Linked DNA regions of Canis lupus familiaris. The protein of the gene in region 1 purifies or fractionates together with the protein of each later gene. This does not show direct contact. Links are inferred from orthologs where the notes say so. Each region holds a gene or a part of one and is shown on either strand. Other genes may lie near its edges.

Evidence for each region.
Region 2: the proteins of JOSD2 (region 1) and AHCYL2 purify together in Homo sapiens (affinity purification with mass spectrometry; 3 studies listed by BioGRID and IntAct, counting the BioPlex papers as one, with this or other methods). This does not show direct contact. The link is inferred for Canis lupus familiaris from reciprocal best matches to the Homo sapiens genes JOSD2 and AHCYL2.

What each region holds. Positions count from the first base shown.
Region 1 is NC_049222.1:106,898,448-106,903,404, reverse strand, and holds the start of JOSD2 (josephin-2), read right to left. Parts: upstream 3,044-4,957; 5' UTR 2,698-3,043; intron 2,159-2,697; 5' UTR 2,142-2,158; coding exon 1,996-2,141; intron 1,231-1,995; exon of another isoform or gene 672-1,230; coding exon 546-671; exon of another isoform or gene 1-545. Other genes in the region: ASPDH (putative L-aspartate dehydrogenase), read right to left, coding at 3,326-3,369, 3,700-3,854, 3,926-4,146, 4,229-4,378, 4,472-4,556, 4,798-4,942. UniProt on the Homo sapiens protein: Cleaves 'Lys-63'-linked poly-ubiquitin chains, and with lesser efficiency 'Lys-48'-linked poly-ubiquitin chains (in vitro). May act as a deubiquitinating enzyme.
Region 2 is NC_049235.1:7,204,625-7,207,835, reverse strand, and holds the end of AHCYL2 (adenosylhomocysteinase 3), read left to right. Parts: intron 1-641; coding exon 642-762; intron 763-1,333; coding exon 1,334-1,340; 3' UTR 1,341-2,458; downstream 2,459-3,211. UniProt on the Homo sapiens protein: May regulate the electrogenic sodium/bicarbonate cotransporter SLC4A4 activity and Mg(2+)-sensitivity. On the contrary of its homolog AHCYL1, does not regulate ITPR1 sensitivity to inositol 1,4,5-trisphosphate.

The DNA of each region.
Region 1 (4,957 bases):
ACCCCCCTCAACTACCCAACTATCGTACACCCAAACATCATTCATCTACTGATGTAACTGATCAGCCAGCCAGCCACCAGCTCAACAACTTACCCACCATCCTCCAACACCTCATCCAGTCTTTAGCCATCCACCTGTCCATCTGTCCATCCATCCCTCCAACTATCCAACCACCTATTAGCTATCCATTGCCTATCAATTATCCTTTATTAACTCATCCACTTCGTCAGCCAACCACCACCTCCTCAACACATCCAATTACACATTTACCATCCACCTCATTACCAGATTACCGTCTACCTACCCACTATCCGTCCATCGGCTCATCCTATTGTCCGTCCTGTCATCCCACTCATCTTTGTACCATCTCCCAACCCTTTGGCTGGCCATCCATCCATCATCCACCCATGCAAACCTTCCACTCATTGTACCCCTTCCTTCTCACCTCCTATCCACCCACCCTCTGCTTTATCTCACACCGATATTGTCACACCGCACCCACTGTGCCAGGCTCAGCACACATGACGCAGTGCTTGGGGTCCCACCTCCTTCTGTCCCACCACACGGTGGCCAGGCCCAGCCCCTGCAGGGCTGCCATGATCACGTTGACATCATAGTTGCCGGTGCCGAGGAGGCTGCGATGGGGATTCAGCCGGGAGTCTGGGGCCAACCTGGTCAGGGGATGGTCAGAGCTTGAGCTGGGGGTCCCTGAAAAGGTCTTGCCCTCCCTACAAAGCAGGAGAGTCCCAGGGACCTTGAATCATCCAGCCTTTGGACTCTTCCCTTTGCTCAACCCCATGGCTCATCAGCCCCAAGCCTGATCCCACCGTCCCCAACTCTCTCTGCCCTGTCCTATAGCCACATTTCCCTGCGCAGGCCTTGTCCTCCCTGACCTGAAGCCTCATCTGGTCTCCCCACCTCTCCTCCAGCCATCCCCCAGCTCAGGAGGCCCACCTTGCCACTATTTGTCTCTCTGGGTCCTGCCTTCTCTGAACAGTGACACCTTTGTTCTTTCTCTTGGCCCTTGGTGGGCAGGGGGAGGGGGAGGGGCAGGGGCCTGAGAGGGAAAGTCTGTGTATTATTTTCCTGCATATCTGTTTGCCTGACCTCCCTCAGGGCAGGGCCTATACTGGACTCATCTCTGGGTCTCCAGCATGGCCTCAGCATCCAAGAGTTGATGGACCCCTGTTGTGAATGGCAGAGGAGATGAATAAATTCTATAACAATTGGTCTGAGGGGCTGGGACTCTGCCTGAGGATGCTGGAGGGTCCATGGGAGGGCTGTAAGCAAGAGTGAGGAAGACAGGATCATCTCTGGGTGGAGCCTCATGTGGGTTACTGAAGGAGGAGGGATCCAGGCTTGGGACGGAGGCTGTGGGGACAGAGAGGAGGAGACAAGGCAGAGCGGGAATAGAGGAGCGATGTTTGAAATGTTGCATGGTGAGGAGGAACATTCCCGGCTGCCAAGAGAAGGAAGCCGTGCCAGAAGGAAAAAAACAGCCTGTGCAAAGGGCCAGAGGCATCATAGCAGGGCTCATCTGGGGACTGGGAAGAACTGTGATTTGGGGGGTGCAGTGAGCTAAGAAACTGCAGAGGAAGGTGGGGACCCACAGCATGCAGGGCCTGGGGTATTAGGCTGCAGGACTTGGGACTTCTCCCAGGGCTGCTGAGGAGCGGTGTGAGGGCTGTGAGCAGAGGAGGGCGGGGTTGGCACTGTGTATAGTGTGGACAGGCAGGGAAAATCCAGAAGCTGGGAGGCTGGAGGGGATGTGAGGATGAGGATCCAGATAAGGGAAGGTGAGGTCTGAGCTGGGGCAGTGGCGTGGCCATGGTGAAGGGCAGGTGTGGGCAGCAACATCTCCATGTCCCAGGCTCAGGGTTCCCCAGGTGGGTGTTGGAAGGCCCGGGGCTCTGTCCCTGCCTTGCTGTGAGACCTGGTTGGGTCGCTCTGCTCCCGAACCCTGCTTCTCCAGGGGTTAGGGCGGGTGACGGTCACCTCTTGCAGATCTCATCGGCAGCCTCCTGGCTAAAGAGCTGCTGCTGCAGGACGTTGTTAAGGGCGTGGACGGCACACAGCTCCAGGCGTTGCCGTTCGTGATAAACGGAGGGCCGGCTCGGCTGTGCTCCTGGGGCCTGGGACATGCCGTCCTCGGCTCCTGCTTGGGGGCGAGGGAAGAAGGTACTTGGGGGCCCGGGATCTGGAGGCCCAACCTGCCAGCAGGTCTGGGGGGCACTGCCGTTGAAGTGGGGGCTCAGGGCAGCCCAAGGGGACACTGGGCCGCTGACCCTGGCTCCCCAGGCCTTCTCCTGGCAACGGGGTACCTCCCTCCCCTGTTGCTAGGAAAAGGCCTCTCCTACTCACCTAGCAACAGAGGGCTACCCCTGCCACATCCCTAAGTGAAAGGGATGGTGGTCACCGAGCAAACCCCCTCCCCTGTCCCTAGGTAACGGGGTCCTTCTCTGGTTCCGTAGCAACAGACGACCCCCTCCCCAACTAGGTAACAAGCCTCTCCTCTGGTTTCTTAGCAATAGAGAAATCCTCTCCCCTGTTTCTAGGTAACAGGGTCTCCTCCAGTCGCCTAGCAACAGAAGACTCCCCTCCCCTATCACAAACAACAGGGTTTCCTGCTCCTGTCTCTCGGCAACAGGACCCCCTCCCCGGACACCAAGGAACAGAGCCTTTCCCCCCGACCCATACCCCAACCGCGGCGCTCGCCCGTTGCCTGGCAACGCCCCTCACCCCTCCTGCCTCTCTGCTCCCCGAAACCAGGGGTTCCCGCATCCCCCTGGGCGGCGGCTGTGGGTTCCGACCGCGAGGCGGGCAACACCGCGCGGTGACTGGCCAGGCCGGACGCACACAGCTCCCAGCGGCCCCCGCGTGCCGGACTACAGGTTCCGGCGGCCCCCGCGAGGCCCTTCGGCTTGGATCGGAACTTCCGGGGAGCTTGGCTCGGAAGTCCACTGTAGCCGGGAGGACGCAGAACTGCAATTCGGTCGCTGCGGCGAATCCCGGAAATATGCCCTACAGGGCCCCTCCTCTTTGCGTGCAGGGGCCACGCCCCCTGATGCTCGGAGGATTCTGGGAAATGTAGTGTGTAGGCTCTCGCGAGAGCTCCCGGGAGTGTGACTCCCGCAGGTGCTCATCCTCCATGGTGGCACCAAGCCTAGTGTGAAGTCGCCGCGTGACGTCACAGAAGGGAACCAAGGGACCAGAGACAACGGACCATGCAGGGAGAGGAGCTTCCAGTGTTTACTGAGACAGCGGGGAGGCCCGGGATGGGGACGTAAATGAGACGAAGATGTCCACCAGGGAAGGAGGCGGCTTCTCAGCAGAGATGGATCCCCGGCCTGGAGGGGAGCTGGCAGCAGCCTGCGGGGGTGGAGGGAGATACAGGGAATAAAAGGCTGGGACCGCGCGATGAGGAGAGTCAGACACCTGCTGGGAGGGACCGACCCGGGTGGGGGAGGAGACACACAGGGAGAAGGGTGGTGGGATCCCAGCGAGAGGCAGAGAAGGGAGGTTCCTACAGGGATGGGTCTCTCAAGAGTCAAAGCCGGGGAGGAGAAAGTGAAGGAGACACAGACATAAAGATCAGTCAACTAGAGACCATATCAGACCCGCAGACCCAGACCCAGCCGGGACCTGGGCTCTGCGGATTGCAGAGCCAGGGCCTGGGGAGAGGGGCTGCAGGGGCCGCACCCAGGAGGCTGCGCCAGAAGGCGGTAACGGTGGCCGAGCCCGTGACGGCGCCTGGCTCAGCGGGATTCTCTCTGTGGGTGTGCACAGCAAAGCTTCGGCCCGAGGGGCCCGGCGGGCCGCTCAGCTCCACCTCCACCACATGCATGTCTGTGAGGCTGGGGCAAGCAGGGTGGTGAGCCTGGCTGGCCTGGCCCCCCGCCTGACCCTCCCACACGCCTTAGCTCACCTGAGATCAGCCACAAGCACCCCGACCACGTGGTCAAAACCCAGGCTGGGGGCGGCCAGTGCAGCGGCCGCCATGGTGTTGGAGTTGCGAGGGGCCAAGGGGCAGAGCCCACGGACAGGGCCTTCGTAGAGCACTGTGCGAGGCCCAGTGCTGGGCACTGCAGCCAGCCGTCCCTCGAGCCGGAAGCCATCGGGGTGCGTGGCCATGGTGACACGAAGACTCTGGAAGTGACAGCCAGGGTGATGGGGCCGGAGGTCTCTGGAGGCCCCCTCTGGTTTGCCCGGGATCCCGGCGGGTCCTCACCTGGAGGCCCCCTGCTGCGTCCAGTCTGGTGATGTCCTCAGTGCCCCACAGGGCCCCCCGGGCCACGAACACGGCATGGTGCCAGCGATGCGAGGCCTCTCGCAGCTGCTGCTCTGTGGCCTGGTCAGCCAGGGCTGAGGGGGACCCCACCTGGGGTGGATGGAGGTGGGGGGGTTGCTGAGGTCAGGGGATGGATCCCACTGTAGGGTAGGGTGGGGCCGAGGCAGGCTGGGCAGGGCTCACCAGGAGGTTGGAGTAACGCAGGATTTTTGCCCCAGATTCCTGGATTATTTTGGGATGGGCCACTTCCACCACAAGGTCAGGGTGCCTGGGGGAGGGGAGAGATGGGGGAGGGCCTTGGAGAGGCATTGCAACTCCCCTCCTCAGACTCCCTCAGAGCCTCTGGAGGCCCGATGCTCTTCACCCTGTTCTGAGGGGAAGCAGGATGGTTTGTCCTGTCTCACGTTTGGCCCAGAGAGGGTAAGGGACGTGCCTGGGATCACAGCACCTGAGGGAGGCCAGAACAGGAGCTTCAGGGAGCCCCAGCCTTTCATGGGGAGATCACTGACCTCTCCCCGAGAGCAGCGAGGTTCTGGAGCTGCAGGGCAGGGGGCACGCTTCCTGCCATTCGTCCTGGGTCTCGATTCCAGACAAAAACAAGTTCTAGGCCCAGTTCTGGTCCCTGAGTCAGCAGGTGAGAAACAAGGGACTGTCCTGGGGGGAGGGAGG
Region 2 (3,211 bases), on another chromosome or scaffold:
TTACTATATCCTTTGGAAGGATATAAAAGAAACAGAACAGCCTATATTTTGACCGAATGTATAATGAAGTTAAGAAGACCAAACAAATACTTAGAAAATGACATAAAATTCTGAATTATATGTATTCAGGTAATAGAATGTAAAATAAACCCATAAGAACTAAGGATCCTAAAAGCAAAGCAAACAGTATGGTATTATTATTAGATTCCTTTCTAATTCCTTTCTAATATCCTCAGGTGTTAGTTTTCCAGAGTAACGCAAAGTCTAGAGTCTAAGACAGAAGAAAAATTCAAGTTTCTCATTTTTTAGTCTCCTGCTATCCCATCTTTTTTTTTTTTTTTTTTTTTTTTTAGATGCTAAAGATTATTGCTTCTTTCATATCTCCCTTAACTTTCTGGGGAGAAAGAAAGCTTTAAGGACAAGACAGCTAGTAAGAAAGAAGCGTTATGGCTTTGAACAACACTCAGCTTGAAGCTCAAGCAACAACTCCTTAGAATTCTGGGCCAGTGAGCCAGTTGAGCATTTTTCTTTCAGCCTTGGGAATTAGAAGATGTCTTCCAACTTTTTAAGGCCTAGCCTGGAAAGAACAGCCAGACAAGAGGCATGAATGTTTATACCAGGGTTTTTGTGATCTGTTCCAGATGAGTATGTGGCAAGCCTACACCTGCCCACCTTTGATGCCCACCTGACAGAGTTGACAGATGAACAGGCCAAGTATCTGGGACTCAACAAGAATGGGCCCTTCAAGCCTAATTACTACAGGTGCCTTGCCCCCACTCCACCCCTGAAGACAGGAAAGCCTGGGTAGAAAAAACTTTCTGCACTGTCCTTGCATCTTTCATATTTATGTGAACTCAGAAAAAATAAACCCACTCCCCGTCACTGCCACCTCCAAAGGACTCTTTGAGGCCTTCTCCAAGTATTAATGTTCCCTTTCTGAATTTGCCTCCTTTTTTTTAAGATTTTATTTATTTATTCATGAGAGACACAGAGAGAGAAGCAGAGACATAGGTAGAAGGAGAAGCAGGCTCCTTCTGGGGAGCCTGATGTGGGGACTCAATCACCAGACCTGGGATCACACCCTGAACTGAAGGCAGATGCCCAACCGCTGAGCCAACCAGGTGTCCCACCATTTCATCTTCTTGATACGATCTTTACCTCTTTATGGAAAAAATACCGGTCTTTTTCACTGATGTGAAAAAACACCACAAGTATCTACCCTTATCATACACTCCCTGCATCCCTGCTGCTATATACCTTAGGTGGGCTCTTCATGTCCCAGCATCCTCACAAGCCGATAACATCACCCTCTCATCTTTCTTTCTCCCTCTAGGTATTAAGTTCCTGTAATTCAAGCCAGAAGAAATTTTAAGGAATAGAACTCCAAGTCTTTTCTCCACTCCTATACAGAAAAGAACCCAGCAAGCTGCTTCTCCAATCAGCTGCCCGCCGTGCTCACCCTATATGTTAGGCTATTTATTTATTAAAATCTAGAATCCTGTGCCTGTTGCCTTGGCCCAGAGTGTGGTTACTGCCCCGAGGGCTGTGAGAGCCATGAAAGACAGGCTGAGGAAGGAAAGATATGGGGTAATCCTTCCCACTCTATCTTCTGCATCATTCCCCACTGACTTGGAATCCTCAGCAATGGTCATTTGTCTCTTGTCCAGGTTCAGGAATTAGTCCAGGAATTCCAGACTCCTTGTTCCCTGGGGTTTTCTGGAATAAATTTTCAGCAGTTGCCTTTTTCAGCTTTGGCTTTTCCCCAGGTGAGGCCTTTTGGAAGCCACTGAATTAACATGGCCTGGGTTCCCAGCCTTGACCATCACTATCACTGCCTTCTTTATAAAATGACTAGGAAGGAAGGAATGTTATGACTTCGGCAAGCTACATCAAGAACTTAGCTACGCCAGTGCTTATCAGGTGTCTCCTTCCTTACCCAGGACCCCTTTCTTCCTTGAATATTCACCTCTGTTTTAACACTTTCTGGTTCCAAGAGGAATGTGCCTCCATTATTTCCTCAGCAGCCCTGGTGTTTGTCAGATATTTGTGTTACCGTCTTTCTAACCCAACTAAACTTTGCTCAGGAAGTGGGGGCCAGCCTTACTGGGGCCCATAGTTTTACTTGTCATTTAACTGAACAGTTTCCCAGGAAGTTCCTTCTAGACTGGCACTGGCTCAGAAAAGGAGAGTTTGTTATGAAACTCTGCTTCCTGAAATTTCCTCTTATTGCCTAAAACTGCTTTTGAAACTGAGCAGGGAAAGATGTACTTTCCAATGGATTTGAGGGTGGGCTTTGGAAGTGGTATAGGCCATTCAGGCCCACAGTTTGATACTCTGAAGAAGCAGAATGTATGTGTTTGTCTCCTGGGAAGGGCTTTGCAGCTTAACAAGCCAAGCTATACAGAGATGACACTGTAAGCCGTATTCAGATGATTAAAGCTAGTTTGACTAGTTCGAACCTTCTCATACATTCATTTCTTTGGCCTTTGCCATTGATCAAACTGAGATCTGATGTCTCTATGATTTAGTCCATGGTTTTTCTTCTCTCCTGGGATATATTTTTATATTCTTGCCTCTTCCATCTTAGGATTCTATATTTCAGAGGTGGCCTCTTGAGTAACTCCAACATCAAAAAATTAGTAATGTGAGCAGCCTGAAATTTTATGTCCCACATAAGAGTTGGATACCTTTTGGAGATTAACTTGTTGGTCTTAAGGGTTTCATCGGGACCAGACCGGTTTTAAGAGTTAGTCCAGAGTGGCCCTAGAAATCTTGGATGAAGTGTGTCCCTTTCCCCCCCGACAACCTTCTTTAACATTCTCAGATCTGTCTGTCTGTCTGCCTGTTTGTTTGTTTCTTTTCCCATTTTTTTTTTCCTAACCTGGTCTGCCTCATAGTCTCAAGACCAAGATGACTCAAGGAAATGCCACCAGACCATCCAGGATCACTATAACCTTACCAACCCCGATTCTCCTCTCCTATCTCCACCTTCTTCAACTTCCCCTGGTTTTCACATATACTTTCAGCGCTAGTCGGGAAGTGACCTTCCTTTTGGAGGTACGGAGGTGGGCTTTGGGTAAATGGCTACTTGCCTCATTAAATAGTATACAGCCTCAGCCCATAGCATCTGGTTCCTCAGAGGCTGTATATCTTAGCACATACTGGAAAAATGCCACATACATGGCTATATTCTTTCATGAGGAAGATCGTA